Neurospora crassa OR74A: one gene and its partners. The protein of the gene in region 6 purifies or fractionates together with the protein of the main gene of each other region. This does not show direct contact. Links are inferred from orthologs where the notes say so. Each region holds a gene or a part of one and is shown on either strand. Other genes may lie near its edges. The genes, in order: NCU01249, NCU07041, NCU04273, NCU02675, NCU03808, NCU02256 and NCU07011.

Region 1 (4,262 bases), on a different chromosome or scaffold from region 6:
CATCGGCCCCGAGGCTCCCGCTCCCTTCTCCTTGGCTTGATCACTGCGCGTCCGAACATGGCTATAGGGTTGGAGCTTTCAAGCTACCATTCAGACCCTTTGATTTACTCTCCCTTCATCATAAAACGCATCATCGTGTCCTCATCAGGTTCGAGCTTTCGCACCAAAGGACCAATCGGCCTCCATGTGCGTCTACTTATCCTCGCCTTTCTCTTTTAAACATAACTTTGATAACGCCAATTCAAGGGGTATGGTGTGGTGAATAAGCGTGAGGGGGCACTATGAGATTGAAGCAATATAGTTCTGCCGTGTTGTGACTTGTGTTTGGGCGAATGAACTCGTATGGGGGAGCCGAAAGGCTGATGGGGTAAGATGTTTATGGTAGGATTTCCCAGATGGTGCCGTGATCAACATCACATCTGGGTCCCCTCATCCCAATCTTTAACCCAACCATCCCCTTCGTAAAAAGAACTAGACGGATTGTACAGCATTTTACATGTCCATCGACTCGGTGCCGTTAGCACCGAAGTTGAAGCCACCCTGCTGGGCACCACCGGAAGCACCGAATCCAAACTGCTGCTGAGCGCCCATGGCCTCATCACCGGCCTCGTCCTCGTCGGAGAAGTACTTTTCAATGATGTTGTACGCCTTCATGTAGATCTCCTCGTTGGCGTTCGTCTGGCAGTCGTGAATCTTCTCCATTCCTCCGCATTCCTCGATAAATAGGGCATAACGGTTGATCGAGTCAGGGCCATCGCCAGCGGCGTTCTTGTCGAGCTCGCCAACCTTGAGAATATTCTCAAGACCATCCAGGGCAACCTGGATAATCTTGTTGTCAGGGCAAGCCAGAAGGTCGCAGAGCGGCTTGATGCAGCCTTGAGCAACCAAGTATCTGATCTGATCGGGCTTCTGGAGACCACCCGAAGTCGCGTTGCTGATAGCCCAGCAGGCCTCCTTACGAGTCTTGAGGTCGGCATGGGAGAGAAGGTGGATCAAAGGAGGGATGATGTTGGCGTCAATGACAGATTGGATCTGAGCCGAGTTTCCAGCAGTAATGTTGCTGATGGTCCAGCAAGCCTCCTTGCGGATGCCATCCTTGTTGGAGCTCAGAAGCGACAGGAGGCAGGGAAGGGCACCGCAGTTAATGATAACCTGGGTCTGAACATCGTCTCCCGTCACAATGTTGCCAACGGATCGAAGCGCGGGCGTCTGGACAGAGGTGGAAGCATGCATGAGGAGCTCAACAAGACGCCTGGGAATGCCAGCCTCAATAACCGCCTGGATTTTGTCGTTGGATCCATCCGAGAGGTAGGAGATGGCCCAGCAAGCGTCAATAAGAACCTCGTCGTCGAGCGAGTAGACGAGCTTGGCGAGAACTGGCAAAGCAGGGGCGATCTATGATGGATCAGTAGACATACTAGATTGTTCGTGATCGAGAGAACTAACCGTGTTCCAGTCGGGCTGAGGAGTCTTGCCACGGCAGAAGTTACTAAGAGTCCAGGTAGCATTCCTGAGCATGCTAAGTTTGCGGCTATCACCAAGGAGGGTCAACAAAGGACGCAGAGCACCGCAGCTTAGAACGTAATCACGGCATTGAGGGCTATCGCCAGCAATATTGCCGAGAGCCCAAACAGCCTGTTCACGCACATCAGGCTCGGGGCTTCCGAGAAGCTCGACGAAGATGGGAACAGCACCAGCTTCGATGACAACCTGGGTTTGAGTGGCAGAGCCCGAAGCAATGTTGGTAAGGGCCCAAGCGGCCTCGAACTGGACCAGGGTGTGGGGGGAGCGGAGGAACTCGACGAAGCGACCAACGACGCCGGTCTTGATAACCTCCTCAATGGGAGGGTTGCGCTCCTTGCTGAGCAGCTTTCTGAACTTAGTGGTCGCCTGAATTTGCTTATCGATCTCACTGGAGAAGACACCCTCGACCATCTTGGGAAGGTCCTCGCTCAACTATGACAACTGGGTTAGCATGTGGAGATCAACTATAACAAAGATCGGGGACGTGACGGAATGTGGGGTGGTTTTCGTTTGTACAATGTTCGAGTTTGCGCGCGCAGCTTGAATGCAGGTTCGGCACTGCCTGGGGGTTTGTGGCTCAAGCATCACCATCATCGGCGGGGTACACGTGGGGGAGAGAAGGGAGAGGCGATGGACGGACGCAGTAGCAAAATTGTGGCCGATCATGTAAGGGGAGTAAGATAGAGGTTTGCATACCTGAGACTCGGTGGGAGGGTTCTCATCGTCACTGTCGGGGGCGGCACCAAGGGAAGCTCCAGGCCGCGAGTCGCCAGCACCAATACCGCGCCTCTTGGCCAAGTTCTCCTCGCGCTTCGCCTTGCGAATTTCGACCTGCTGTTCCTCACGACGGCGACGAAGCTCATCGGGCTTGAAAGCACTCTTGGCCTTGAACTGGGTGCGACGATGCTCGGGAATGTATCGGTCAGCCATGGTTGCGACGCGATGTCGAGACGACGGTGTCTAGACGGATGGGTGATGGAGGTGTGATATGAAGGCGGCAAACGAGGGGCGATGCAATCGATGAAGCCCCGGCGACGAAGTTGCTGCGAGCCGTTCAAAGGGAGGTATATGCGATCAAGAAAAGCCGGAGAATTGGAAGAGCCCGGTTGATACGGTCCTGCCAAAGCAATCCTGAATGGGACGGAGAAAAGTATGGGTGCGTTGTCGGCGAGACGGAAAACGTCAGAGAAGGATTGGGTTTTGGGGATGGATGGGGCAGGCGAGTTGTGTGTTTTTTGAGGAGCGACGATGAAAGAATTTGGGAGTTCGCCCGCGCCTCGAGCAGAAAGCGGAAACAAGAATGCGGCGGCGGCTTGTCCCCTCCTCTACCAGCACTTTCCACCTCCACGAAAGTGAAGTCCAAGTGCAGGCAGTCACTGTGCCCTGCCTGCCACTCAGTCACAGCTGCCCCTCAGGCCTGAAGGTGGCCCAGTCACTGCCCACAGCGCCCAATGCTGGCACCAACTGTAGCGAAAAGAGTTTGGCTTCTGAAAGTGGGGATGGAAGAGCCAAGCTCGAGCACAGGCCACATGAGCAGCTTTGTAACTTGTCCGCTGTTCTTGGAGTGCAGGAACTTGTCCACCATTGGGTGGCCCCACCTCAGAGCGGCTGGACCCTCCAGGCATTCTTCTCATTCCTTCCATTTTGCTTGTGAACGTCATGGATTGTTTGCAGGTTACACACTGCCCGTCATAACTTCATCGACCTCAGGCCGCGTCCGTCGAGCCGCAAGCTTTTCGTTTCCCTGAATGACTACGACATGTTTCAGTTACTTGAAAGAACGACGTCAAAAGGCCGCTCTCAACCTCCCACCGTCTGAGCTAGGTAGATACGTCTTTGCTACCTCCAGGCTTTAGGTTGTGTTGGGAGGCTGGCCTGCAAGGTCCTGTTCGGGAGTCCCCGACCCCTCATGACTATACTGGGTAGGTAAGAGAAAGCACAGACCATGCGTCTAACCATTACCGTAGCCCTGCAAGGCTTGCTGAAAGCACAGCGCTTCAAGTCTGATGGTCTGGCCCGACGGGCGGCCAAGACCCTTGCCCTGCACATGCGGTCGCGCAAACTTGGCGATTGGGCAGGTGCCATTTCCGCTTTCAAGACGCGTAAAGTGAACGCGTAATGTACGACGTATAACACTGAAGTCCCCAAGTTGCCCTACAACGGTTGGTAAGTATCACGACCAACCGCTGGTGGTGTTTCATCCACATACTCATCCGCCGCCATGTAATCGGAACGGAGAGTTGGGATATCCAGATGATGCGCCCGCTCAGAGACAGGAAACCGGCGGCCAAGGCAAAGCCACCACTTTTTCCGTCAACGCTCACACCCCTACGAGCCATTCTCGACGATGACGGTGATGCCCAGCCCGGGTCCATGGTCAATGTCATTGGTGTTCTTAAGGACTGCCGAGCACCCGTCGCGACACACGGATCGGACTGGAAGTGCACCCTGACCATATCTGACCTGTCCATTGAAGATGAATCGGCCGGAGTTGAGCTCGTCATCTTCCGCCCCGAGGCACGGATGCCCGAAGTCGGCGCCGGAGACGTGCTTGTTGTTCTAAGCGCAAAAGTTCAGAGGTTCAAGTCCAACCCAAAGTCTCTCATCACCAGCAAGATCACCACCGTTTGCGTTTACAAGGCAGCGACAATACCCGTCTATCCCGCTTCAGCACAGGTAGCACTCTTGCCCCCAAAGCAAGGTGAAAGCCACAAGCTGTTGAAGGAGGAACACCACCA
Region 2 (3,949 bases), on a different chromosome or scaffold from region 6:
CGGAGGCAGCTCCAACTCGGTGGGTGGTGTAAATGATGTTGGATATTGCGGATGAATAAGGGGAAGAAGGCCCGGAGATCGAGTCGAAGCCAGCTTGACTTTCACGGCGGTTGAAGGCGGCGTCGGTGCCAATTGACCCACTCGTGGTGGATGCGAGCGAGACCGTGGGCCCGTGACCGGGATTGCCAACTTCGGGATCGAGACTGCGCAGGCGGAGGGAGGTGCGGGTGTGTGGTGGTCGAGGTCAACGTCCCAGAAATGACGTCTGTGCTTATGATGAATTCGATTTGTTTCTTTTCCTTTTCTCTTCTTCTCAAGGATAGACAACGACAATTGCCGTCGATCTTGGCAAAGGTCACAAGAAGCAGCGATACCTGAAGGTCTTGGGGTTCGGGATAAAGACCGACGCCAGGGATACGAAGGGGAAATCGAAGGGAGTAGTGTAGAATGTCGCGGGGCCGAAGAAGAAAAAGAAGGGGAAGATGTTGCAGGGACGGAAGGAGTTCTGATTCTTGGCGACACAAAACCGAACCTACCCCTTTCTGACGGAAAACGTTGATGGATTTCGAAACCTCGTGCACGGAATGCTGTAATCCGTGGCGTACCACAGTGCAGATTGTGCTTGCCCGATCATGATGACCACAGCGCGCCAGGGTCGTCAGATCTTTGCAGGTTCTCATTGGGCGAACCTGGGATGATTTCTTGGTTCTTCAGCTGGAAAACCAACGACGAACGTTATCCAGCCTTACCGCGACTTTATCACGGCGAACCTGAAAATTGCTGCTGTTAAGTTCGTCAACTTTGACTCGGGCGGGATTCGATGCTTCACCATCAATTACTTCAGCGTATCTTGAACACCTTGGTGAGATTTTACCGACGGTACAGGTGTCAACAATGGCCCTGCTGGGAGTATACAAATCACGTTGAGACCCCAGCAAGTCAAAACGCTCTTGTCGCCAATCCCACCATGGCATATCAAGACCTTTTGATGTCGCCAGCACGTGTGATTTCTTGTTGATGTTCCGTGCCGTGCCGTGCAAGCCCCTGTCATGATAAGCTAGTATGTAGATAAGATAACATCTACAACCTGGGGGGAAAAAACAGCTGAAAGGAGCAGATGGCCAAGAGTACTTGGATAGACTCGTTGCGAAGTACAGCAGGACAGTAATGACAGAACCAAACTTCCACCTCGCTGAGATTTGAAATAACTGAATCCGGTCGTTTTCTTATATTTGCTCCTTTTTTATGCTGTTGTCGTCCTCAATGAAAATACCAGGTTCCAAAAGTTACAACTTCCATGCAAGTGGAAGTTCCAGTTATCAGATAAGGAGCTGCCCCTGCATCTGCCAGCTGGCCGCTGATCCTGTCGCGCTTCTGCAGCCGGAACTCAACCTGCAAGAAGCGCCGCGCCCCCACTCTTACCAGCTGCGGCAGGCTTGTGTTCCAAAAATTTCCATCCGTGCAGCGCGATTCGGCTGGCCATCTTGCCATACAATCCCTTCAACAAGCCATTTATCAAATCCAACCACCAGACCCAAGTCGCTCGCCCTGATATCGTGACCTGTCGCACAACCTCAATCGAGACCTCTGATTATTCATAAACATCAACAGCCCACAAGAGCCCCGAGAAACACATTTACAGCCAAAATGCCGTCCACACACAAGAAGGAGAAGCCGTGGGATACAGACGACATCGACAAGTGGAAGGTCGACCCTTTCACCAAGGACGAATCCTCCGGCCCCTTCCTCGAGGAGTCTTCGTTTATGACCCTATTCCCCAAGTACCGCGAGCGTTATCTACGAGACTCGTGGCCACTCATCACCAAGGCCCTCGACAAGCACGGCATCACCGCAGTTCTCGATTTGGTGGAGGGTTCCATGACAGTGAAGACGACAAGAAAGGTACGGCGGATGCGTTTGTTGTCTTTATAGTCACCACTCTTTGCTAACTCACGTCCAGACATATGACCCCGCAGCTATTCTTAACGCCCGCGATCTCATCAAGTTGCTCGCCCGTTCAGTACCAGCCCCACAAGCGATCAAAATTCTCGAAGATGGCATGGCCTGCGACATCATCAAGATCCGCAGCATGGTACGGAACAAGGAGCGTTTTGTTAAGAGGCGCCAAAGAATTCTCGGACAGAACGGCACAACGCTCAAGGCTCTCGAGCTTCTCACACAAACATATATCCTCGTGCACGGAAACACAGTGTCGGTAATGGGTCCTTTCAAGGGTCTGAAGGAGGTGAGGAGGGTTGTTGAGGACACCATGAACAACGTTCACCCAATTTACATGATTAAGGAGTTGATGTAAGTTTTGCGCCTGCACGCCCACTTGCGACGCCCCACAACAACAATAACTGACATGAGAAAACAGGATCAAACGCGAACTCGCAAAGGACCCCGCTCTTGCCCACGAAGACTGGTCTCGTTACCTCCCCAACTTCAAGAAGCGCACGCTTTCCAAGCGCCGCGTCCCCCACGTCGTCAACGACAAGACCAAGAAGAACTATACACCCTTCCCCCCTGCGCCCGAGAAGAGCAAGGTGGATCTCCAGATCGAGTCCGGCGAATACTTTCTCGGCAAGGAGGCCAAGCAGCGGGTGGCGGAGCAGGAGCGCGCAGAGAAGGCCAAGCAGAAGAAGGAGGAGAAGAAGCGCGAGCGCGAGAAGGAGTATGTGCCGCCCGAGGAGTTGACGGACAAGAAGGCCAAGAAGAGGAAGACGAGCGACTAAGCTGGTACAAGTGGTGCAATCCAAAATATGGGGGCGGTGGAGGTGGAAATGGAGTTGAGGAAGACGATGATGAAGAGAAAGAGAAAGGATCCTGGAATCCCATGATACCCATACTTCAGCAGACGATTGAGATTTCTCCTGCTTCGGGATCCAAGGGTGATCTGGTTGCTAAATTTCACCAAAAGCCTTTGTCAAATGTGTTATCAAAAACAATGACTTGTCCAGAAAAGATGTCGGTTCTTGAATCTGTCGACATTTCGAAACCCAAGGCCGAAACAAAACCCGATGACGATCGCGAATAAAGCCCGATGTGGCAGACCCGCACCACAACCGGGCTGCTCCACCCCGGCGGATCGCAAACCAGGGGCATCACAAGGCGGGCCGAGGCAGTTGCATCATTGGAGCGGGATCCGGCAACGAATGCGGGGGAGAGTGGGGGCGGCCATTGGTCGGTGGCAGGGTTGGTGGGAGAGGCTCAATGACAGAGTGACAACACCCCTTTCCCCGGGTCCAATTGATAACAAATCTGGCCGATGTCGCAACTGATTTAAACTTGATGACCCTTTCCTTCTTTCACTTCTTGAACATACTTCAACACTCATCCAGTGGATTGGCCTCGGTAAAACACAACCCACACATAAACACAACGCCAAGATGCCTCTCCAACTCACTGTCAAGAAAATTGACGGTAAACCCGGCCAGGTTTACTACCCGTAAGTGTTTTGTTCTTCCTCTTCACATAACCTCACCTTTCTTCTCCCCCATACATATCCCCATCACCACCACCAACCAACTCACTCCCACCATCCTCCCCGCATGACTAACCCTCGGCCTCCCCATCTAGCCTCCAACTAAACACCATCCCCAAACCAACCCCCGGCCCCGGCGAGCTTCTCATCCGCCTCCGGTCCTGCGCCCTCAACCACCGCGACCTCTTCATCCGCCAACACCTCTACCCCGGCATCTCCTTCGAGCAACCTTTTCTCGCTGACGGCTACGGCGTCGTCGAGTCCACTGGCCCTTCCGTCTCCCCTGCCGCTTCCCAGCTCGTCGGCAAACCCGTCCTCATCACCCCCAGCCGCGGATGGATTTCCTCCCCCGACGGGCCCGACGACCCCAACCAGCCCTGGACGGTCATTGGCTCATCTCAGTTGACCGACGCCGGCACGGGGCAGGAGTACATTGTTGTTCCCGAGGCGGAGGCAGTACCCGCG
Region 3 (4,013 bases), on a different chromosome or scaffold from region 6:
GAACCATTTGAAAGATCTCAAGCGGTCAAGACAAGCCGGCCTGCAAGCCCAAGCAATGAGGCGTCAGTAGTATGTATGTGGTAAGAGAGAAGCTCCAGAGTCTGTTCAGACTAGCTGCCAATGAATTGTGTCCTTCTGAGGACATTTCCGAGGAAAAAAGTAGTGTACACGTACGACGTGGACCGGTGGAGTCTTTGAGGACCTTTTGTCGGTCTTTTTTTTTTCTTCTTTTCAAGGCCGCCAGATCTCGCCAAGCCCTATCGGTGGTTCTCGGCACGTGAGGCCCCAAAAAGATGGTTTCGGGTACCAATTACCTCCACTTTTCCGGTCATCAAACGCAAAACGATGAGACTTTGTTGAAGCGACCGCGACAGGCCGTCAACGGTATGCAGTGTACAGCGCTACCAACCACGGTACGGCCAGCACCAAGGACCTTGGAAAACCCATTGTTGGCTTTTCCGCATCCTCTCGGCCTGCAGTGGGTGTTTTAGACAGGCGTTTGCCAACGCTGCCTCTGTTCCTGGCCCTTGCGCTTGGCGAGATGATGGACCGACATTGAGGCCGCGTGGCCCACCTGCCCACCCGATCAGCTCCCTTGACGATTCGCTCGATCCAGATCAAAGCTTCGGGGGGTTGATTCGAGCAACGTCAGCAACACGCTCATGTCGTTTCCGTTTCGATTCTGCGGGACTTTAATGGCCATCACTCTGGAACAACTTCCGAAGGATCTGATACCCTTTCATTGGGAGTGACTGACCTGGAGTTGAATGGGGCTTCTGCTTCCCATCGGAAGTGACTGTCCAGCTTTGTATAGCTCAGGGTTGCTATGTGGACTTAAGAGACTCCCTGCAAAGTAATATGTCCAACCGTCTTTCAAGAACCCAACAAGTACTCTGCTCAATATAGATGAGTTTGGCAGACGTGTCTACTACAGGTACTCTACACCGTGAGCTATTATTCATGGCAAGGGACATCCTGGCATTGATCAAGTGGAAGAGGGGCCAAGTCAGCATATTGGCATCATCGACTTGTGCTCGTGGCTACATTTGGCCCATTGCGTGGTGCTGTGGGCTGTCATTGTCGGGGAAATATTCCATCCATTTGTGACCAATGTACAAAAGTACGTGTACTGTACCATACTCCAGTTGATGAGTACCGAAATTCTGCACGCTGGTCTCGTACCTACCTTGCCGACCCAAGTACGGCTGCACTTCAAGACCTGTCATCGGAGCAAGACACGTTTGACACTATAAGATAGGGCCCATAGACATCGCATTAAAAAGGGGGCAATCATGCAAAGGGCAAGTCCCATCATGAAATGACGGCGGGAGATCTGAAAAGATGGCGGCTCTTTGCAAATTTGGCACGAGATTCAGAGGGGTATGAGTGGAGAACCCGAAAGTGGAGGTTGAAAGGTAGGTCCCGCCCGCTCCCCCGCATTTTGCGCGATGGAGACCCGACCAAGCCAAGCTCCGGACCCGCAACTGGAGCGAGGAACAGTGACCCCTTCCTTATCGCTTCGCTTATCGCAAAGTAAATTTTCCAAAATCTTGTGCTGCCAGCAATTGGGGAATCTCAGCGTCCATGCGCGGCTGTCCTCCTTCTGTAGACATTGCAAATTCGAGGAATCAACACCCTTGATTTTATTGCTATTTCCAACACTTTTCTTCCCTTGCCTATTGACACCATCTCGATCGATACGCTAAAGCCAGCCAGAATGGCAGCAACAAAAGACCTCGAAACCGCCTCCGCGCAGGACTCCGCTCCCGTCGACGCCATGGACACCACCGCCGATTTCGTTTCCGAGAAGAAGTCTAAGAAAGAAAAGAAGGAGAAGAAGGATAAATCCTCCAAGAAGCGCAAGGCCACAGAGGAGCCTGCCGAGTCCGCCGAGACTGTCGACACCATGGACACCACCGCCGATGCCGATGCCGCCGCCGCCTCCTCCGATGAGAAACCCAAGAAATCTTCCAAGAAGCGCAAGGCCGAGCTCACCGAAATCGAAATCGACGTCACCGCCCCCGAGCCTCCCTCCAAGAAAGCCAAGCGTCTGCTCAAGAAGGGCAAGACCCTCCCTACCAAGCCCTCCTCCGACAAGGGTGATGACTCCGACGACAACTCGGATAACGAAACCGCCACCGGAAAGGACGGCGACAAGGACAAGAAAAAGAAGAAGGAAAAGAAGGAACGGTCCCCCCACGGCGTCTGGATCGGCAACCTGCGCTTCACCGTCACCAAGAGCGAACTGAAGCAATGGCTCGTCGACAACAGCGGCGGCTCCATCACGCCCGAGTCCATCACGCGCGTGCACATGCCCACGGCCAAGGCGCAGCCCGGCCAGCCCAAGAAGGAGAAGCCCGAGAACCGCGGTTTCGCCTACGTCGACTTTGATTCGCTGGCCACCAAGGTCGCCGCCATTGCTCTCAGCGAGACCGAGTGGTACAAGCGCAAGCTGTTGATCAAGGACGCGACGTCGTTCGAGGGACGGCCGGAGAAGAAGAAGGAAGACGATGAGGATGCCAAGGGCGCTGCTGGTGGAAAGAAGGACGAGGCGCTAGTAGGCGGCAAGTTCGCCGGCTCAACCAAGATCTTTGTCGGCAACCTCTCGTTCGACACCACCGAGGACGACTTGCGCAACCACTTTGACAAGTGCGGCGCCATCCGGTGGGTCAAGGTGGCCACGTTCGAGGACAGCGGCAAGTGCAAGGGGTACGGGTGGGTGAACTTTGAGGAGGGCGAAGCCGCGCAGTGGGCGGTCAAGGGGTTCGTCAAGATCCGCGAGGAGATTCCCGAGTTGGAGGACTTTATGGATGAAGACCAAAAAGCCGAAGCCGAAGCCGCAGCCGACGGTGACAACGCCGACGCGGAAAAGACAAAGGAAAAGAAGGAAACGGAAAAGAGGATAAAGACCCGCAAGTGGTGGGTCAACCAGCTACATGGCCGCACCCTCAAGATCGAGTTGGCCGAGGACGACAAGACGAGATACGACAAGCGGTTCCGAGGCAAGGGCGCTGCGGGCGGCAAGAAGCAAGGACAAGACGGTGGTGAGAGGCCACAGAGGGTTCCTTACAAGAAGAGGGAAGAAGGCGGTAATGGTCAAATCAAGATGGCTCAGGATATCAGTGTTGCCAGACTTACTGGTGCGCCTGTTGCTCACCAGGGCAAGAAGACTACCTTTGAGTAAAATAGGACGAGTGTCCTGTCTATCTGGTCCGGGCTTTTTTTTTTCTTGGGTTCGGCGGAAGAGAGAGAAAAAATATGGGTTCAAAATCATGTCGCCACGGTTCAGTGTGTCCGGTGGTAACTTAATGTTGTCTTGTTTTAAGGTTGTGTCTTATATACCTATCTTGTTTCCATGTTGTGTGGGCTTAGACGGCTAGAGGAATCGAATTTGCGCTTCACCTCATACCTATATGCACATCGTGACGATCGCAAGTGTGTTCTACGTTCTGTCTTGCTGGTTTGCTAACACAGTCTTTCATCTCTCTGCAAAACATGACGCTCCAAGGAGATTACTCAAAATACATCCATGCCTCCATATGTATGCACGGTCGTGTTGTTTACGGCCGGCGATCGAAAAGGACCAAGAATTTCATGACGGAACATCTGTTTTAACACAATCTAGCTATTGAGCACAATCTGAGTGGCCGTAACGAGTTACAAGAGAAGTGAGGTCTACTCTAGATTATAAAGTGGTGAATTGCCAGTTTCATCCGAAGAAGAGATCAATGCGCAGCAGTGTAGTGTAAAGCAACGACACCGAGTACACTTCACGCCAGAGCCGTCGACTATGGTAATCCCTTGATTTCTCTCTAGACACTTGTTCTTTGGGACTTATCACATGAAGCACAGACTAAACAGAAGACAGTAGTAGGAGAGGGGAAATTTCCATAACAACGAGCTTACGTTGACAAAAGCAAAAAAAAAACTAGCAATTTAAAGCACCCATCAATTGACCCGAGCAACCCAACAAAACATTCCGTCCAAGCACTCCGTTATCCATGTTTCTCGTC
Region 4 (3,776 bases), on a different chromosome or scaffold from region 6:
TACACGGGGGCGTGATAGTCGACTTCGTTGGGCAGAAGCCACCAACGACGAGGCTAGGTCCTTTGTTCTTCGATGCGGTGATACTGGCTATCCAGTGCTTGATGTTGGCTATCCATACGGAGCGGGAGAAGCTGCGCAAGGTTGTGAATCCCTCCTTACAACCTCTCTGGGCTGGTCCCGGTCAGGTTGGACAGCAGACGGGGGCATCAGGTAGCGACGGCGTGCGCCAGCCGGAGACTTCCCAGACTTTGGATGCGGAAGAACGGGGCGTGAATAGGGAAGATGAGATGGCTCTAGGCGATGGAGAAGGGACCGAAACAGACCGCCTGGTGGCAGAAAGCCGTGGCGGTCAGGGGCAGGATGATGAACAGCGGCTGGGGTCCAACTATTCTCCAGCATCTGCCGGCATAGACTTGTTTGACGTGATGAGGTCAGGCAATGCCAGTGTGGGTAGCTTTCATCCGGTACACGCCATACGTACGGTAGGGAATGACTACCAGACGGCTGCGGCTTACACGGTCCAAAGCATTGGTTTCCATGCGGCCGCCGTTGCTGGCAACCGGGGAGTTAGAGGAATTGCTGGGATTACGAATAGAGCGGCCAGACGGGGGATATGATGGAAAAGCATTTGTACACACTAATACTTAGTGCCGAGACCCACGAAAGCGAATTTGATACAGCAAAAGTATGACCTAACAGAGCTTGAACATGCAACAAAAAAGAAAGCATCCGGTTTATAATTCTTTACGCTACCTTCCTTCCCACATTACCAACGCCCGTACCCTTGACCGAGACTACTAGATCAGTCGTCTCACCGTCATCGTCGACATCCCTTATGCCCCAGCTGGCCGCTCCGAATTTCTTCAAGTCTCGTGCTAGCCCTATTGTCTCCTCCCTAGCCAATACTTCCCTGCCTAACCTGAGGCGACCCACATCCTCCGATCCCATTGCCATCAGTGTAAGCAAGGTCGGTGCCGATACGTTACTGACGCAACCTCCCTGTGCGATAACCTCCAGCAGCTGGTACGCGCACCTTGCGCCTATATCCTCGGGCACGACACCACCCTCGGGCGGCGCTACCACATCAGCCGAGTAAAGCACGCCGTCCGCGCTCGACTCCGCCACCAAGCTGAGGCCAAAACCGATACCGATCTTCTTCTTGGCACCACTCTTGTCGCCGACCAGCGGCGCCGGGTCGTACTGCGCGGCCACGTGCACGTCCGAGACCAGCTGGTTGAGCACGCCGCGCGCCGCCGTGATCATGCGGTTGTTGTGGCTGGCCGACACGCCCGTGCAATACGCCACGCCGCGAATCCGCCGTATCCTGCCGGGGCGCCGATTCAGATGCAGTGTCTTGGGCAGGCGAACCTGACTGGCGAAGCGAAGCTCGACCACGCCGCCACCGCCACGGCCGCCGGGGCCGGAACAAGAGCGCGAGAGCACGCGCAGCTCGATGCGCGCTGGCGGGATGCCGAACATTCCATACAACGGGAGCACGGCCGTGCGAAAGGAGTCAACCGAAATGTCGCCGGTCAGGTGGGTGGCCGAGGTGATGACGCCGGGGCCAGTGAAGCGGACGTTCATGTGGGCTTTGGAGAAGGGCGCGAGTAGGGCAAGCGGGAGGAGGAAGTAGGTGATGCCGCGCGTGTTGTTGGCGGGCAGGGTGTGCTCGACTACGTCGCCAACGGCGCCGGCGTTGACGCCCGCGACCGTGCCGGTGATCAAACCGGGCTGGTATGTAATGGTGGTGCCCGAATACGAGACATCGATGACGGAGCCGTTGGTGATGGCCTCGATAAGGCGCAGGAAGGAGACTTCGTGGGGCGCAAGACCTGGATGTGTGGCCGAGCTGCTGCGGATCTTGGAAATGTGCACTGGGCGGCCGGTAAGGGTCGAGAGAACGATCCGGTGCGTGAAGGCGCGGTGCCCCGTAAAGCGAATGAAGTCGGTTTTCTCGCCCGACATGGTGGCGGTTGTCAGGTCGTTGGTTTCACGCTGTCCTGGGCTCAGTCGTGTGAAAGTGTAATTTCCTAGTCTTTTGAATTCTTCGTAGGCGATCGCGCCCCAACTCGTCGGGCAGTGGTCGTCGGTGATGGATGAATGGGTATGTCGCGGTTTTAATGGCGAATGATTCTGAATTGGAAAGCTCCTTTGCGAGCGCTGCAGGTCTCCCCGTTCCAATTCGCTTTTCTCCAGAATTTTTGGAGGATCCCGCTGTTTCTGCCGGGCGGTGAAATGGTACCTAAGACTTATTCGACAGGAGCTGCGCGTCGATAAGGAACTGCAGGGGCGTGATAAGAAAAAGTCACAGCGGCAGCAAGCGCATGGTGGGGCGATGATGGCCGCTGTTCCTTCCAGGACGTGCTGCTGTAGGACAAAGTGTTGCCGGCTTCTCGCCATCACGAAAAGTTGACGAACACACCTTCAAGTTCCAGTTCACCACAATCCTTCTACCTCCGCAGTTCTACCTGGCTTCCACATCTCCAACTCTTTCATTGCTCCTCATGATTTTCTTCATTCTTTACAGCACACTGCCATAGCCCACCCGACACACGAAACAACCACCGATGCCTCCCCGAGCATTTGCGCTTGAATTGAGTCGAACAAGCAGCTATGTTTGCCAGTCATGCATCGCTAGCATAGGACGAGCCCGCCCAAATCCACAGCCATGGCTGACGAGAAACGCTTCGAGTGCGGCCCGCGCCGCTCGCAGACAACGTGCGCCAACGACGACTAAGCAGCTGGAGGAAGAGCAAGCACAGAGGTTCCAAGAAGCCCTCCTACGGGAGGCGCAGAAGGGAGAACCCACCGACACCGACGAAGGTCCAACCGAACCCCTTGCGGTCAACTACTTCAACGAAGAGACCGAAGGGCAATACCGACAGCTGCGCGACGGTGCCGAGTTTGGCGCCGTTAGTGGCGGCATCGATAGCGAGATTTCCGAGGCCATTAACGACTTGGAGCAGAAAATGGTCCAGACAATACAAATGCTCGATAGCCTGGAGAAGGTCGGGGGTTCCGAACAGGACAAGGCTGAGGAGCTACGAAAACAGTTCAAAAAGATTCTCAGGGAGAAATACAAGGGCAAGACGGGTCCAGAAGGCGAGTCATACGGCGTACTGCGCATTCCAGGCTTCAGCGGAGTGCGGCAGCGAGCCGTAGCCAACTTGAACTCCTTCCTTGCGCGCGACAGCGTCGTCAAGGGCGGCGTCCCCAAGCCGAAAGACCTGTTCGACTGCTGGAAGTACTACTCTGCAGCACGCAGTTCATTAGCCACCCAATGGACCAACGTGCCGCGCGAGGTGTGGGATTTTCTGTGGATGATTTTGTCACACGAAGGGGAAGGCGTAGAAAATCCGAACCGGATGCATCACATCTACGTTTTGGCGAAGGACATGCAAGCTGCGGGGGTGGTGCTGAGAGACTCGCAACAGCTTCTTGCGATTGAGGCCATGTTTCTCGAAGGCTGGCAAGAGGAGGCTATCGAAGCGTGGAAGAAAGCCGTGGTCACCATCGGCTCCAAACCAGAAACATTCAAAGGGTACTATGAGCTGGGAGTACGCATGTGCAGTCTCCACGGAGATACCGACCGCGCGATGAGAGCTGCGGATACTCTTCTCAAGTCCTCAGAATCGCCTAACCCGCGCATCATGATACCCATCGTCCGGGCTTTGGCAGCAAAGGAGGAAAACGTCGAGGAAGCGTGGGAAGTGTACAGGGATATGCGAGCGCTTCTCGGAGACACCATGCAGATCGAGGACTACGATGAAGTTATC
Region 5 (4,364 bases), on a different chromosome or scaffold from region 6:
CCGGCGTTGCTCTTCTTGGCTTCTTGAACGGCGGCGGCGGGGATGGCTTGGTTCTCGGGAATGTAGATCTCGCCGGCTGAGAGACCGGCTACGAGCGCAACGGTGTAGGGAAGGCAGTCGTGGAGATGTCCGATAAGAAGGATGCGAGCGAAGCGGGGAGAGAGCGGGAAGATGGACATGGTAGATCCGATGGGGGTGACTTGGCCAGTTTGGGAGATGGCGTTGAGGTAGGTCAAAAGCTTCTCGGCCTTGATCAAGCTCTCACGCGGTGGCGGCGTGGGGAAGGGGAAGTTGACGACATGCTGGAGGTTCATGGACTTGAGCTGGAGCACAACGCCCTCGATGGGCATGCGAAGCAACTCGGGCTCTGAAAACTCGGGGAAGTCTCTTTCGTAAACGGCCGAGGAGTAGAGTCTCCAGCAGTGTCCCGGACCGGTACGACCGGCACGACCGGCACGCTGCTTTGCGCTGGCCTTGCTGATCCACCCAATCTCGAAACTCTGGACGCCACTGACAGGATCGAACTTTCTCTCCTTCGACCTTCCAGTGTCGAAAACGTACTTGATGCCGGGAATTGTCAAGGATGTTTCAGCGACGTTGGTAGCCAGGATGACGAGACGGTGGCCCTCTGGGGGCGGCTCAAACACCTTCATCTGCTCTTTCGTGGGGAGCAAAGAGAAGAGAGGTAGGATATGCATCTTCAATGGCCCTGTACCAGATTCTTGGTCCTCAATCTCGAACTCCTTGTCTTCCTCCTCGTCCGACGCAATGGAGATATCGTCATCGTCTCTGTCGTTGATGTTACGGTCATCCTCAACGTCGCCAAAGTCGATGTCTTCGACTTCCATGGGTGCCTCCTTCGCAGAAATCCGCACCTTGGTGGTGCTGGCGGTGTTCATACCGCCACCAAAACGCGCCTTCAACCGCTTGCTGAGCTGGGCAATTTCACCCTGACCGGTCATGAACACAAGCATGCCACCAGGGGGCAGTTTCCTGTGGCCCCTGCAAATCTTGCGGAATGCCTCATCAACGTAGTCGTGGTTTGTCTTTTTGGCAAAATGCATGGTAACAGCATGCTCACGGCCTTCTACCTCAATGATGCGAGGAGTGGTGTGGAACAAGTTAGAGTTTTGGGTGAATTCCTCAACCCTGAGGGTGGCGGACATGATGATCAGCTTGAGAGGCTTGATCGTGGGGTCTTCCTCCGCCAACTCTCTCCTAAGCTTGACCACTCTGCTGAGCATCGCAATCAGGATATCGGTATTGACGCTTCTCTCGTGGGCTTCATCAATGATGATGGCAGAGTACTTGCGAAGAGCAATATCGATGGCCGCCTCACGAAGCAAGACACCATCCGTCATGAACTTGATGGCCGTCTTGGAGTCAACGGTGCCTTCGAATCTGATTTGGTAGGAAACCACATGTGAATAGTCTCCCATTTCTTCGCCAACACGCTTCGACATACTGACAGCAGCGACACGTCTCGGCTGGGTGACACCAATCATGCCAGGAGTAGGTCCATCCGGAACACCGTAACCGGACTCGAAGAGGAACTGGGGAACCTGCGTGGTCTTGCCGGAACCGGTGGCACCGCAAATGATGACAATGTCGTTGTCGTGAATGGCCTCCATAATCTTCTGTTCCTCTGCAACAACCGGTAACCTGAAACGAGTTTCCTGGATCTCGGGTGTCCTGGTAACTACCACGGCGAAAGCCTTGCGGGAATCGTTCTTTGTTGGTTGCAGCTCGATAGGCAGAGGCTCTTGTTCGATCGGCCGAGGCGTAAAGTTGGCAGGTTTCGGTATCTCGAGAATGCTTGATTCAGCAGGCTTGTAACCCAAAGCTTCGTTCCTCGCCTGATGCGCCCAAGCCTTGAAGGCTGAAGACTTTGCTTTCTTGTCCTCCTCGGCGTCCTCCATGTCCTCGTCGGATTCTTCCGCAGAATCATCGTCTTCTGAATCATCTTCGGAACCCTCTCCGTTCTCTTCAGATCCATCCTCTTCTCCCGATTCCTCCTCCTCCTCTTCACTGCCTTCTTCCTCGCTGCCTGAACCACTACCCTCAGACTCTTCATCGTCTGAACCCTCTTCGCCCTCCGAACTGAAACCGTCCCATTCTACCACTTCCGGCACAGGAATGACTGCGGGAGCTTGCGATGATGTAAAGTTGTGCTTCGTTTTCACACCTCCTCTCTTTTGTCTCTTGGCAAGTATTGGGCGTCCTGACTCGTCGACCTCTAAGGGGCGCTTGAGACCAGCACCGACAGGTACTGGCAGGCTTGTTGACGATGTCGTCGCTTGTACTGGTGTAGGCTCGCTTGTTTCCGCTGGCGCGCTCCTTGGCTTCTCGGCTGCCGAGTCCTGCTCATCTTCCGAGCCCTCTGAATCCTCGTCGACCGTGGGTTTAGGCTTTGGTACTGGTGCACCTTCCTTCACCTCTCGCTTTTCGTAAAGTTTCTTGGCCGCCTCCTTCTCTGTTATAAGTCCAGCTTTTGCTTCCTTGACAAGCCGGCTGAGCTCCTCCTTTTTGGTCAATTTTGTTTGGCCTAGTGATTTTGTGCTTGAGAATAGGGAGGTGTCGATCTTGTTGGCGGCAAGCTTGGCCAGGAGTTCGCGGTTCTCGTCCTTCTTGAGCTTTGTGTCGATGTACTTTTCGAGTCTCTTGGCCTTCTTGCTGCTGACCTTGACACCCGCAGGCCTCAATTCCTCCCGTAGCTCGGTCTTCTTCTTTTCGGCATCCGTGGTGGTTTCCTGTCCAGGAGCGATCTCGAGGACGTTGGTGTCTTCGGGGTCTTGTGTTCCCTTACTCCTCGACCGCTGGCGATCAAGCTGCTTGCGCTTGCGCTGACGCGGCACGAACTTCCCGTCTATGACAGCCATGTTGTTGTTTTATCGGGTGTGCTCGAGGCGAGCAGTGACGGCAGAAATGAGGGCCGGTGTCGCGACGGCAGAATGCAACGAACTGAAAGTCACCAAGTACCCTGAAGATTTGAAGATTAAATCTTGTCCGCCTGGCAGAATTTCTGCGCTAAATGTGGCACCCCACGTTTTGGGGGCCTGTGAGGGTCCAGGACAGCAACTGAAGTAACCCAGCTACAGTGCGCGTACAGTTTGCTATGTTTCGTGGGTCCATCCTGAACTCTGCAGCCCAGCCCACTCCGGCTCCATCAACAAACATCACGATGGAGTCCCGCGTCTAAACTCTGAATATGAACGCAGTAGAGACATCAGAGAGTACTATCCGACCAGGAGTACAGAAGCCGAAGTTATCCCCCTACGGTCTTATCCTTTGAAACACACGCGGTTTTTCGAGTCTTGCAACTGTCCATACTTCACCACATCCAGAACTCACCATGTCTGAGGACGCAGTCAGGCAAGAGCCATTCCCGTCACCTTCCAGGCAGGCAACTGGGCTTGTCAACGGAGTGGAAACTGAGGTTTCATCAATGAACTTCTCGGACAAGATCATGGTCACCATTTCTCAAGGTGGGCGCCTTGCTCAGTGGGTAGGTTCAAGAGCGCCCGAACGCCATCCCACTTACAGTCTACTAACATACCATGTTCTAGGTCCAAGTACAACTAGCCGCACCTTCTTCCGCGTCAGTAGACATGGCTCTGCCTGGCGCCGGTAGCCTGTTACCATCAGAACATTTAACAGCAACGACTCTTCTTGGAGGTGGAAATGCGGAGAGGGAGACCATGGGCCAGCTTTATGCCAGTCAAATTGCCAGTCTCCTGACTTTGCGCAACCCCAATGAGCAGCGGTCTTTGTTGCTTGGTTTGGGCCTGGAGAAGGTCGACACCACTACTAGTGACTCCTTCTATGACGTGGTCGAGTTGGTACAACAAGTCCTCTAATAGTAAATGTCATGGAGTGAACGATATCTCGCAGTAACAAGTTCGAGTTGAGGCTATCGCGATGAGCAGTTCTGGTGAAGCGGGGAGTAGAAACCAAATGTGTGGTTATCGGGAATGAGCATGTTCGCAACTCGGTGGATGTGGTCGGCTGAGAAGATGTAAGTGAGGGCTGGTCTGTCTTAAGGCAGGTTCTGGGAAGACAGGGGAACGATGGCTGGGCTGCTGGCCAGTTTAATCCTAGAGATGTAGAACACAGAACAATGGAGGGCAGTGAGCCCGATCTTGCAGCAACACAAAAGATGTGTGTCAAACGAAAAGCGACTCCAGGCAGATCGACAATTTCGAGCAAGGATCCAAACAGGATGATAGGATGATAGGATGATGTTGAAGGCAAGAGGGGCTCAAGTGGACGAGCTGAGGGACAAGGCTTAGCCATAGACCCTAACCCTGCTTGATGAAGCGGAAATATGTGGCTTGTCGAGCTGGTAGGCTGGCCTTGGCACACAG
Region 6 (4,490 bases):
GCTCAGACTCGCGCTGAAGTTTATCGAAGCAGTTTAGGCAGTATTACAGGGAGTGTGGAGCGTTCTAAGTTCTAGCGCCCAGAAGCCAGAGTCCCCGAGCGCAACCCGACCTGGCTGCGACTGCACGGCACTCTGTAATGAACCGATTGGATGTTGGGGAGGATCCACTTCTCAAGGACGGGAAACCTTATTTGGAAGGGGAACATTCAACCGACTTGAAGTCATCCATGGCTTCCGTCCATAACAGAGAGCACTGAAAACAACTCAACAGAAGATATAATCAGAAAGGTACAGTCAAAGACCAGCGGGTGACACTTTTGGTACATGGGCTTTGTTCAAGACATGGAGGGTGTGCATAATGGAAAGTCCTTCCACGAATACCAGGCGATATATGATATATACGGAGAAGAGATAATTGAGCAATGTAAGGAGAATAACTGGATTGTTGCGGCTTTGTTCAAGGAGTTGGTCGACGAGTGGTACAGTAAGGTACTCAGACGTCGTCCAGCTCTGGTATTCTGAGCAAGTCAGTCATCCTTTCAACTTTGGCCATGTTCGTAAGCTCAAACTCACATTTTTTCTTGCCCATGTATGTTGAGTCGCTGTCCTTGAGTTCTTCCCGCGCCTCTTCAAGCAGCTTGTCGATGCCACGCTCTTTCAAAGCAACCTGTAAAATGCCATATGGTAAGCTATCTCGATGCTAGAGTACGGGCGCTGTATGGTTTTGCGTCCTACCTGCAGGCAAGAGCTATACTCCTTGAAGAGAATTGAACATTCGTTATTTTGTTCGGTACCATTGCCCCTAAGGTATTCTGTCCAGTATAAGTATCACACATGTCCACTGAGTTGGGGTGTCTGTTCCTGTAGACTTACTCTCACTGTACCATTTGAGAAAGCAAGTGTCGTAACGTCTACAACTGGTTAAGATGTTGTTTTCTTTCCGTATGAAGGACAAAAACTTACTCCTTGGCCTCGTTGCATTCCTTGGCGAGTGACTGGGACATCTTTAAAGTCCAGAGCTATGTTTTCAACCGTAGGTGTTGCCAACAAAACGATAGGCTTGGTACGGTGTCCGATGACTTATGGGTATCGACGGTATATCTATGTTTTGGGCAAAAGATCGTATAGAAGGGTGTTCGTGAGATACTCCAGGTGAATATTTTTGGTGGAAAAGACGGTTGTACGGAATCTCAAATATCAACGTTCACCGGTGAGTCCGCTTGGAAACCAACAAGTACCAGGTGCTATTCAACAATGGGGTTGCGGACTTCCACTTCGTCACAGGACGGATCTCAAAAGCCTGGACGCCGATGGATGAACGAACGTTGGTGGTCCAGATCAGCACAATCTTGGCTCTTGGCAAGCGCCCCCTTGGCCTTATGTAATCGGCTGCCCAAAGTCTCTCTACTTTAGTGCTTCTACTTCCCAGCATGGGCCATCAGGTACCTCTACCAGCGCAGAGCGGGAACAGCTCACTCGAGGCCCACTTGATGGCATCCATCGGGCAGCTTCCACTTTTCGAGGTCCCGTTCACTTTGGCGCTTTCTCCACAAGCCACATGCTGGGACTGTCCGCAAAAAAAGTTCCCAAAGAGCAGCAGAACGACAAACCATTTTTGGAAAATTGAACCGGGCTTCCACTTCCAGTGACGTCCACACCACAACGACTCCAGAACCACCGGCCAATATGGACGGCTCACTGGACTTCAAGAGCTTGAGGGAATCGCTCCAAGCCGCCCTGGTCGCTACGACCCGAACCGCCAACTCAATCGCCAGCGAGGATCTTCAGTTCCAGCGCACCGTCAACCCGACTGTCGGTGGTCAACTCGACAACAGCTCCGGCCGCCTTCTGTCCCTGGCCAACGGGCTCCTCAAGTCGACCGCGAATCTTACCGGCCAGAAGGTTGGCGCTCTTGAAGATGCCGACGACGTGGACATCCAATGGCGGAACATTGTCGACGTGATCGACTCGTTGCTCGAGAAAGCCGACACCTGCCTCGACGAGTACACCGGATTGATCAAGCGGAAGGATGCGCCTACCCCCGCCGACCAGGGCCGCGCCCAAAAACGCGTCAAGTCGTCTAACGATCGTCTTGACTGGTCCTTGAAGAGAGCCAACATTCTCAAACCACAGAATAACTTCGAGAAGAAGGTCGATAACTTCGCTACCGGTCCTTGGAAGCCTCTGTTGTCGTCCAAGCCTCATGCCAAGGTGTCACTGGAAGACAGCCTGACCACCTTTGTCGATGATGACAACAACACACAGTACGTCTAACCTTTCTTTCCAATATCATAAGAGCATGTCGCTAACATGAATCTCCCAGATACAAACACCCCTACGAAACCGAGATCAAGACGACACCGTACCCTGAGCATGTGTACAAGAAGCGCGAACCCAAGGAGTACCTTCCTATCGATTCGACATCCGCCATCTGGGTTGATACTTATGAGGGCGTCTTGGAGATGTTGGAGGAGCTCAAGCAGGCCAAGGAAATTGCGCTTGATCTGGAGCACCACGATTTTAGGTCTTACACCGGACTGTTGTCTCTCATGCAGATCAGTACCAGAGAGAAGGATTGGGTCATTGATACTCTTCAACCTTGGAGGCACAAGCTTGAGGTTCTGAATGAGGTTTTTGCGAACCCCAACATTGTCAAGGTGAGACACATCCTGGCCTTCTGCTTTCACTGTATTATCGACTAACTTGACCCAGGTTCTTCACGGTGCTTTCATGGATGTCATCTGGCTGCAGAGAGATCTTGGTCTCTACGTTGTAGGTCTCTTCGACACATATCATGCTTGCGCCGTTCTCGGGTACCCTGGAAGGAGCTTGGGTTATTTGCTTAGCAAGTTTGCCGAGTTCGAAGCCGACAAAAAGTATCAGCTTGCGGACTGGCGCATCAGACCTCTCCCCGAGGAGATGTTTTACTATGCGCGGTCGGATACCCACTACCTGCTCTACATCTTCGACATGATCATCAACGAGCTCGTGGAGCGCTCAACACCCGGAAAGCCGAAGCCTGACCTTCTCGAGCAGGTCCTCGAGAGGTCCAAGGATGTCGCCCTGCAACGATACGAGAACCTTAGCTACAACGTCGAAACCGGCCAGGGACCCCGCGGGTGGTATAATGTGCTGTTGAAGTCCCCAACGCTCTACAACGGCGAGCAGTTTGCCGTCTACAAGGCCGTACATCAATGGCGTGACAACTTGGCTCGTCGTGAGGACGAGAGTCCCTTCTTCTTTATGACACAGCAGGTTCTGGCCGACATTGCCCGGATACTCCCGACCGACAAGAAGGCTCTGTGGAGTATTCTGGATAGCAACGCCAAGGGCCTCAAGTCTCATTTGGATGATCTATTCGACGTCATTCAAAAGGCTAGGGAGGAAGGTGTGAACGGTCCCAAGATGATGGATATCTTCAAGAGCGAGTCATCTATCCTCGCCCCCGCCAAGATTGCTGCGGTCATCGCCGACGATAGCGACATTCCGGACGTCAAGGAGCTCAAAGCTGACCGGTCACAATTTTGGGGCGGCGTCACTCTGAGCTCAGTCTGGGACGGCACGGCTGCGAAGACTGCCAAGCTTGACGACGTGTTGGAAATCACCCTTCCGTATCCGGCCGACTTCATGGACGGATCTACGGCTGAGATGGAGGTGGATCAACCAGAAGAGGCGGTGCCAGAGCCCCAGCCGGCGCCGGAAGAGGTGATAGTCAACCAGGAATTCACTCTTAGGAACGGAGGCAAGCGCAAGCGCGAGGAAGAGTCTGAGGAAGAAGAGGAGGCCTCAGATGCCGAAATGGAGGATTCCGCGCCTCAGACCGAAACCGACGTGCAAACCGGTGGTGAAGCCGAAGGTGACGACTCCGACGAGGAAGAAGAGGAGGAGGAGGAAGAGGCAAGCGACAAGTCATCCAAGAAATCCAAAAAGGCAGCCAGGAAAGCGGCCAAGGAGAAGAAGAAGCAGGCCAAGGAAGCTCTCAAGGCCCAGCGAAGGGCAGAGAAGGCCGCCAAGAAGGAAGCAAAGAAGAAGGCGCAGGAAGAAGCTGCTGCTGCCGCTAAGCAGGCGGAGGGCGAGGAGAAGGAAGATCAGCCGTTTGATTACTCTCAGGCTGCGTCGGTGTTGCGTGCTCGCAAGACTCAGGAGGACGTCAAGAAGGCGAATAAGAGGTTTAACCCGTATGAAAACAAGTCTCAGGGAGGACCCAAGGGCGCAAGAGCGCATTACACGGCCAAGGCGGCTGGCAGGACGGCTACCTTTAAGAAGTGAGGAGCCGGCGGATGAGGAAGATGGAGGGCAAATAGGATAGATTATGGAACGATCAGTGCTGTGTTGGCCATTGATGCCACTTATTTTTTTTACTTGGACTATTATTATCGCGGTGCGTTTTAGTATATGCGACAGGAGAAGAGAAAGAGATGGCTTATGGTAGAGACATAGATACCAAGCAATAACTGATGACGGCCAAGAGACGTCGAGTTTTCATCCTG
Region 7 (4,573 bases), on a different chromosome or scaffold from region 6:
TGGATTGGGAGAAAACGGGGAACTGCACTTCTTATTTGGTGGATGTCTAGACTAGACTGGACAGCTCCTCAAAGCAAATAAAGGATAAAAGAAAAAGGAAAGAAGATAGAGGTTAGAGCGATTGGGCCCCAATGGCTTTCAAGGTCCCAACTGAACTAAGCAATTGATAACCGCAAGTGTTTCGACGACGGGAGATGGGGATGTCAATCTGTCTTTGATCCTTTTCTTCTTCCCTTTTCCCCCTCCCTCTAGCTCCAGATGGATGTTTCAGTTGTCATCCAAGCACAGCTCATAAGAACAACATGTAATCATCAAGAAAGCCATTGGTACACAACTGGACAAAGGTGGATAGCTTTGTGGCGACACGAGCAGAGACAACAGCTAGGTAGGTAGCCCAAGTTGGGATGATGCCCAAGCGTTGTTTGCGCGGGGAGGGAGAAAGGAAAAAAAAAAAAAAAAAAAAAAAAAAAAAAAAAAAAAAAAAAAGAAAGAAAGCAAGAGGGAAAGGCGGCATGTGGGCAATTTCCATAAACGGACCCGGTAGTACCTACTAGTCCCAATTCTGAACGTCTACGTGTAAGTGCATCTGGATCCCACCATTAGTTCATTCCCTTACACCGGAGTTTTGGTAGCTCATGGCAGAAAGGCTGGCACTTTCTCGGGTACTACATGGCCATCAACCGAATGAATGGTCGTTAGAATACACTTTTCATGCTACCTTTGGAAACTAGACTAACTCTCAGGCAATTTTGCATGGAGAAATTCCCAGGTAACTCTGGCTGATGTCTTTTCGACTTTTTTTTTTACCATCCCTCTCGAAATTCTGTGATGGCCTTTCCTGACTAAAGCGAGCCGTGTTGGACTGTCTAATTCGGTTATATTTACAGCCACTTCGTCGTCATAACTGGAGGTCCAGTCTCTTTCGTCATTGGCGTGCTTGGATAGACACAGGAAAAAAAAAACCTCTCTAGTGATCGACAATGATGGACACCAAAGAGCCCATTGCGCGTTGACTACTGGTACCAGAAGGTGGGTGTCATGCCAAACTAAACCCTTGCTGGCGCCCTATGATATACTGCGATAGCCGCAGAGAAAATCCAGAAGAACGCTGAAGGTGGGTGTCATTGCGAACCGTATGCCGTGGTACCTCTATGGGTGGACGACCTGAGGTGGGTTCGATGGACGGGATGATGACGCCGCAGGCAACCTAGCATTTCGACGCTGAAGCGGACAGGGGATGGTGATGCTGTGCTGTGCTGTGCTGTGCTGTGTTTCACAAGCAAGAGCTTTTTCGCCCAGTTGGCGGGGCAGATGGAGGTGTGGGGTTTACTGCAGTTTGGAACACAGTCTCGACTTCTGCGATGATGGGAAACGGTAATCCCGGTAACTGAAAGGCTGCAAAATGCGGCCGGGATCGCAGGAGGTTCCTACTATGCAGTACACAGATACACAGTGCTGGATTTAAGCTCTGTGGGTCCTAGCCAGACGGTGGTCCCACATGCGTCCAGCTTTCATGCTACCCCACATGGCGAGGCAGACCAATCACATGAAGCTCCCACTTGCCTGCCCCAACCGACCCCAAACTGTGGCTGAAAATTTCTGGTCCACCGCGACAAGGCTACTATTATCGAAATCTTCAAACTGCGACTTTCAACAAGGCTTTGCAACTGAAAGGCATTCGCAGACATCGTGGTAGTTGGCAGCATATGCCACTCGACGACATGATGCCGCATTCCGATCGCGAAATCACATCCGCCAAGCGGCAGAAGCTCAATGCCTCTGTCGTCAAGTCCAAGGCGCCTCAGAAGAAGAAGAAGGGTTCCTCCATCTTTGCTCCCTTCAGAGTACGTCCCTAATAGCCGGTCGCATGAAGTCCTCAAACTAACACCAAACTCACCACTCATAGACTGTAGGCTTGGTATCTCCAACAAGCGTCCCCTTTACCTCCATCCCTCTCGGCAAGACCACCTTCCAGATCACTACCTCGGTCGGCCGCTCCCTCCAGACCTATGACCTAAAGAGAGGTCTCAATCTCGTCTTCGTTACCCGCCCCCAGACTCCCGCCGACATTACCGCCACATATGCTTGGAAGGAAAAGGTATTCGCCGCTTGGGGTAACCCTCAAAATGGCGAGGCCCAAGGTATCTGGGTTTATCAGCGCGGAAAGAAGGTAGCCGAGCTTGAGCTGCCCGCCGACCTCAACCAGCCCATCAAGCAGATCCTCATCTTCGGTTCCTGGATTGTTGCATGCGCCCAAACCCGCCTCGAAGTATGGAAGTCGGCCACCCTCGAACACTACACGACCATCTTTTCCGTTGCCGCAAAGAAGGGCGACAACGAGCTCACTGGTGGCGTAGTCAACATGCCTACCTTCCTCAACAAGATCTTGGTCGGTCGCAAGGACGGTTGGGTAGAGATCTGGAACGTCAGCACCGGCAAGCTCATCTACACCATCCTTCCGCCCTCTCCCGACGCTGGATCTGTCACCTGTATGGAGCCTACCCCGGCACTTTCGCTTCTCGCCATCGCCTACTCGAACGGCCCTCTCGTCATCCACAACGTCCTTACCGACAAGGCCTCCCTCAAGTTGATGGCCGGATCCGAACACGCCCCCGTTACAAGCATCTCCTTCCGAACCGACGGTCAGGGTGCTGGTCAAGATGGTACAAAAGATGGCGTCATGGCTACCGCCACAAGCATTGGTGGAGATGTCACATTCTGGGATCTCAACAAGGGCGGCAGAGTGATGGGTGTACTCCGGAGCGCCCATAATCCCCCATCACACACCGACAAGACTGTGCGCGGAGGCATCAGCAAGGTTGAGTTCCTCCCAGGACAGCCCGTTATCATGACCAGTGGTTTGGACAACTCGCTCAAGTCCTGGATCTTCGACGAATCGCCCTTCTCGCCCGTCCCCCGTATCCTTCACATGCGCAGCGGCCATGCCGCCCCCGTCAACTGCCTGCAATTCTTGCCAACCGATTTCGATGGCGCCGAGGCCGGCAACAAGTGGCTTCTCAGTGGTGGCAAGGACAGGAGTCTGTGGGGCTGGAGTTTGCGCCGCGATGGCCAGAGCTCTGAGCTCAGTCAGGGTGCTCTTCGCAAAAAGGCCAAGAAGGTGGGTATTCTTGCTAATACCGCCCTCGGCGGCCACGGCCCGACTACATCTTTGGACGACCTCAAGGCTCCCGAAATCACATGCATCGCCTCCTCGCTCAACCGCGATGGCGGCATGGGCGCTATGCCCGGTAGGCAGGTCATCTGGGACAAGGGCAATGACAAGAGCAAGCCGACCAAGTCCGAGCTCGCTGCTATGACCGGCTGGGAAAGCGTAGTAACAGCTCATAAGAACGACCCCTGGGCTCGCACCTGGTTCTGGGGCCGCAAGCGTGCTGGTAGGTGGGCGTTCAAGACCGGAGATGGCGAAAATGTTTCTACCGTGGCTATCAGCCCTTGCGGCAGTTTCGCTCTTGTTGGCTCCGTTGGTGGTAGCTTAGACATGTTCAACCTCCAATCCGGCCGTCACAAGCAACGCTTCCCCTCCCGACTCACTCCCGCCCAGATGCGCCAGTTGAAGATGCAGCAACTTAAGGCTCTCGACAAGGTGAGCCAGCTCGAGAAGCGCGCCTCCTCCAAGACCTCCTTTGCCCCCGGCTCGGGCAAGCACACCAAGTCCGTAACCGGCATCGTGGTCGACCCGCTAAACCGCTTCGTGATTTCCTGCTCTCTCGACGGCACCGTCAAGTTCTGGGACTTTGTCACGGGCAACCTAGTCGACGAGATTGACTGGGCGCCCATGGTGCAGATCACGGGCTGTCGCTACCACGCCGGCAACGATCTCATCGCTTTCGCGTGCGACGACAATTCGATCCGCGTTGTCGACATCGAGACCAAGCAGACCATCAGAGAGTTCTGGGGCTGCCGCGACACCATTAACGACTTCACCTTCTCCAACGACGGCCGGTGGATCGTGGCCGCCTCGCAGGACCGCGTCGTCCGCGTCTGGGACCTGCCGACGGCTCACCTCATCGACGCCTTCCGGCTCGAGAAACCCTGCACCGCCATCGCCTTTTCCAACACGGGCGAATACCTCGCCGGCGCCACCGAGGGCGAGCTGGGCGTGCACATCTGGACCAACAGAACGCTGTTCAGACACGTGCCGACCAGACAAATATCCGAGAAAGACATTGCCGAAATCTCGGCCGGACCTACCAGCTCAGGCGAGGGCGGTCAAGGTCTCATCGAGGCGGCCTTTGAGGATGAACAGGAGGACGAAGAAGATGAGGGCGTGTCTGCGCCGGTCCTCGATCAGCTCAGCGCCGACATGGTGACGCTCAGTCTGGTGCCCAAAAGCAGGTGGCAGACGCTGCTGCACATTGACCTGATCAAGCAGCGCAACAAGCCCAAGGAGCCGCCCAAGGCGCCTGAGAAGGCGCCCTTCTTTTTGCCTTCGCTCCGGGATGGGACGACGAACCCACTGCTGTTGACGGAGGGCGAAAAGAAGGATGAGGAGGAGAGCCGAATTTCGAAATTGACGCAACTCGAGACGACAAGGACGTATCAGACGTTTACG

What was found.
Region 1: the proteins of NCU02256 (region 6) and NCU01249 purify together in Saccharomyces cerevisiae (affinity purification with mass spectrometry; 8 studies listed by BioGRID, with this or other methods). This does not show direct contact. The link is inferred for Neurospora crassa OR74A from reciprocal best matches to the Saccharomyces cerevisiae genes RRP6 and SRP1.
Region 2: the proteins of NCU02256 (region 6) and NCU07041 purify together in Saccharomyces cerevisiae (affinity purification with mass spectrometry; 3 studies listed by BioGRID). This does not show direct contact. The link is inferred for Neurospora crassa OR74A from reciprocal best matches to the Saccharomyces cerevisiae genes RRP6 and KRR1.
Region 3: the proteins of NCU02256 (region 6) and NCU04273 purify together in Saccharomyces cerevisiae (affinity purification with mass spectrometry; 3 studies listed by BioGRID). This does not show direct contact. The link is inferred for Neurospora crassa OR74A from reciprocal best matches to the Saccharomyces cerevisiae genes RRP6 and NOP13.
Region 4: the proteins of NCU02256 (region 6) and NCU02675 purify together in Saccharomyces cerevisiae (affinity purification with mass spectrometry; 3 studies listed by BioGRID). This does not show direct contact. The link is inferred for Neurospora crassa OR74A from reciprocal best matches to the Saccharomyces cerevisiae genes RRP6 and RCL1.
Region 5: the proteins of NCU02256 (region 6) and NCU03808 purify together in Saccharomyces cerevisiae (affinity purification with mass spectrometry; 3 studies listed by BioGRID). This does not show direct contact. The link is inferred for Neurospora crassa OR74A from reciprocal best matches to the Saccharomyces cerevisiae genes RRP6 and ECM16.
Region 7: the proteins of NCU02256 (region 6) and NCU07011 purify together in Saccharomyces cerevisiae (affinity purification with mass spectrometry; 3 studies listed by BioGRID). This does not show direct contact. The link is inferred for Neurospora crassa OR74A from reciprocal best matches to the Saccharomyces cerevisiae genes RRP6 and UTP21.

What each region holds. Positions count from the first base shown.
Region 1 is NC_026505.1:3,366,299-3,370,560, reverse strand, and holds the start of NCU01249 (importin alpha subunit), read right to left. Parts: upstream 2,801-4,262; 5' UTR 2,455-2,800; coding exon 2,221-2,454; intron 1,957-2,220; coding exon 1,447-1,956; intron 1,396-1,446; coding exon 493-1,395; 3' UTR 1-492. Other genes in the region: NCU01248 (hypothetical protein), read left to right, coding at 3,778-4,262. UniProt on the Saccharomyces cerevisiae protein: Functions in nuclear protein import as an adapter protein for importin beta nuclear receptors. Binds specifically and directly to substrates containing either a simple or bipartite NLS motif. Promotes docking of import substrates to the nuclear envelope.
Region 2 is NC_026504.1:4,998,452-5,002,400, forward strand, and holds NCU07041 (90S preribosome/SSU processome component KRR1), read left to right. Parts: upstream 1-1,468; 5' UTR 1,469-1,647; coding exon 1,648-1,902; intron 1,903-1,960; coding exon 1,961-2,310; intron 2,311-2,377; coding exon 2,378-2,735; 3' UTR 2,736-3,242; downstream 3,243-3,949. Other genes in the region: NCU07042 (alcohol dehydrogenase), read left to right, coding at 3,390-3,448, 3,580-3,949. UniProt on the Saccharomyces cerevisiae protein: Required for 40S ribosome biogenesis. Involved in nucleolar processing of pre-18S ribosomal RNA and ribosome assembly. Essential for vegetative growth.
Region 3 is NC_026505.1:5,457,011-5,461,023, reverse strand, and holds NCU04273 (RNA-binding protein), read left to right. Parts: upstream 1-1,533; 5' UTR 1,534-1,717; coding exon 1,718-3,184; 3' UTR 3,185-3,402; downstream 3,403-4,013.
Region 4 is NC_026501.1:3,164,105-3,167,880, reverse strand, and holds NCU02675 (RNA-3'-phosphate cyclase), read right to left. Parts: upstream 2,166-3,776; 5' UTR 1,966-2,165; coding exon 745-1,965; 3' UTR 650-744; downstream 1-649. Other genes in the region: NCU02676 (hypothetical protein), read left to right, coding at 1-617; NCU02674 (hypothetical protein), read left to right, coding at 2,568-3,776. UniProt on the Saccharomyces cerevisiae protein: Does not have cyclase activity. Plays a role in 40S-ribosomal-subunit biogenesis in the early pre-rRNA processing steps at sites A0, A1 and A2 that are required for proper maturation of the 18S RNA. RCL1 activates BMS1 by promoting GDP/GTP exchange.
Region 5 is NC_026505.1:2,474,149-2,478,512, reverse strand, and holds the start of NCU03808 (pre-mRNA-splicing factor ATP-dependent RNA helicase PRP16), read right to left. Parts: upstream 2,949-4,364; 5' UTR 2,880-2,948; coding exon 1-2,879. Other genes in the region: NCU03807 (hypothetical protein), read left to right, coding at 3,353-3,505, 3,567-3,857. UniProt on the Saccharomyces cerevisiae protein: Probable ATP-binding RNA helicase. Required for 18S rRNA synthesis. May play a role in restructuring of the pre-rRNA.
Region 6 is NC_026507.1:3,162,775-3,167,264, reverse strand, and holds the start of NCU02256 (exosome complex exonuclease Rrp6), read left to right. Parts: upstream 1-1,553; 5' UTR 1,554-1,686; coding exon 1,687-2,264; intron 2,265-2,323; coding exon 2,324-2,657; intron 2,658-2,712; coding exon 2,713-4,269; 3' UTR 4,270-4,490. Other genes in the region: NCU17251 (hypothetical protein), read right to left, coding at 517-518, 574-667, 736-812, 874-911, 964-1,004. UniProt on the Saccharomyces cerevisiae protein: Nuclear-specific catalytic component of the RNA exosome complex which has 3'->5' exoribonuclease activity and participates in a multitude of cellular RNA processing and degradation events.
Region 7 is NC_026504.1:4,898,169-4,902,741, forward strand, and holds the start of NCU07011 (WD repeat containing protein 36), read left to right. Parts: upstream 1-1,642; 5' UTR 1,643-1,706; coding exon 1,707-1,844; intron 1,845-1,906; coding exon 1,907-4,573. UniProt on the Saccharomyces cerevisiae protein: Involved in nucleolar processing of pre-18S ribosomal RNA and ribosome assembly.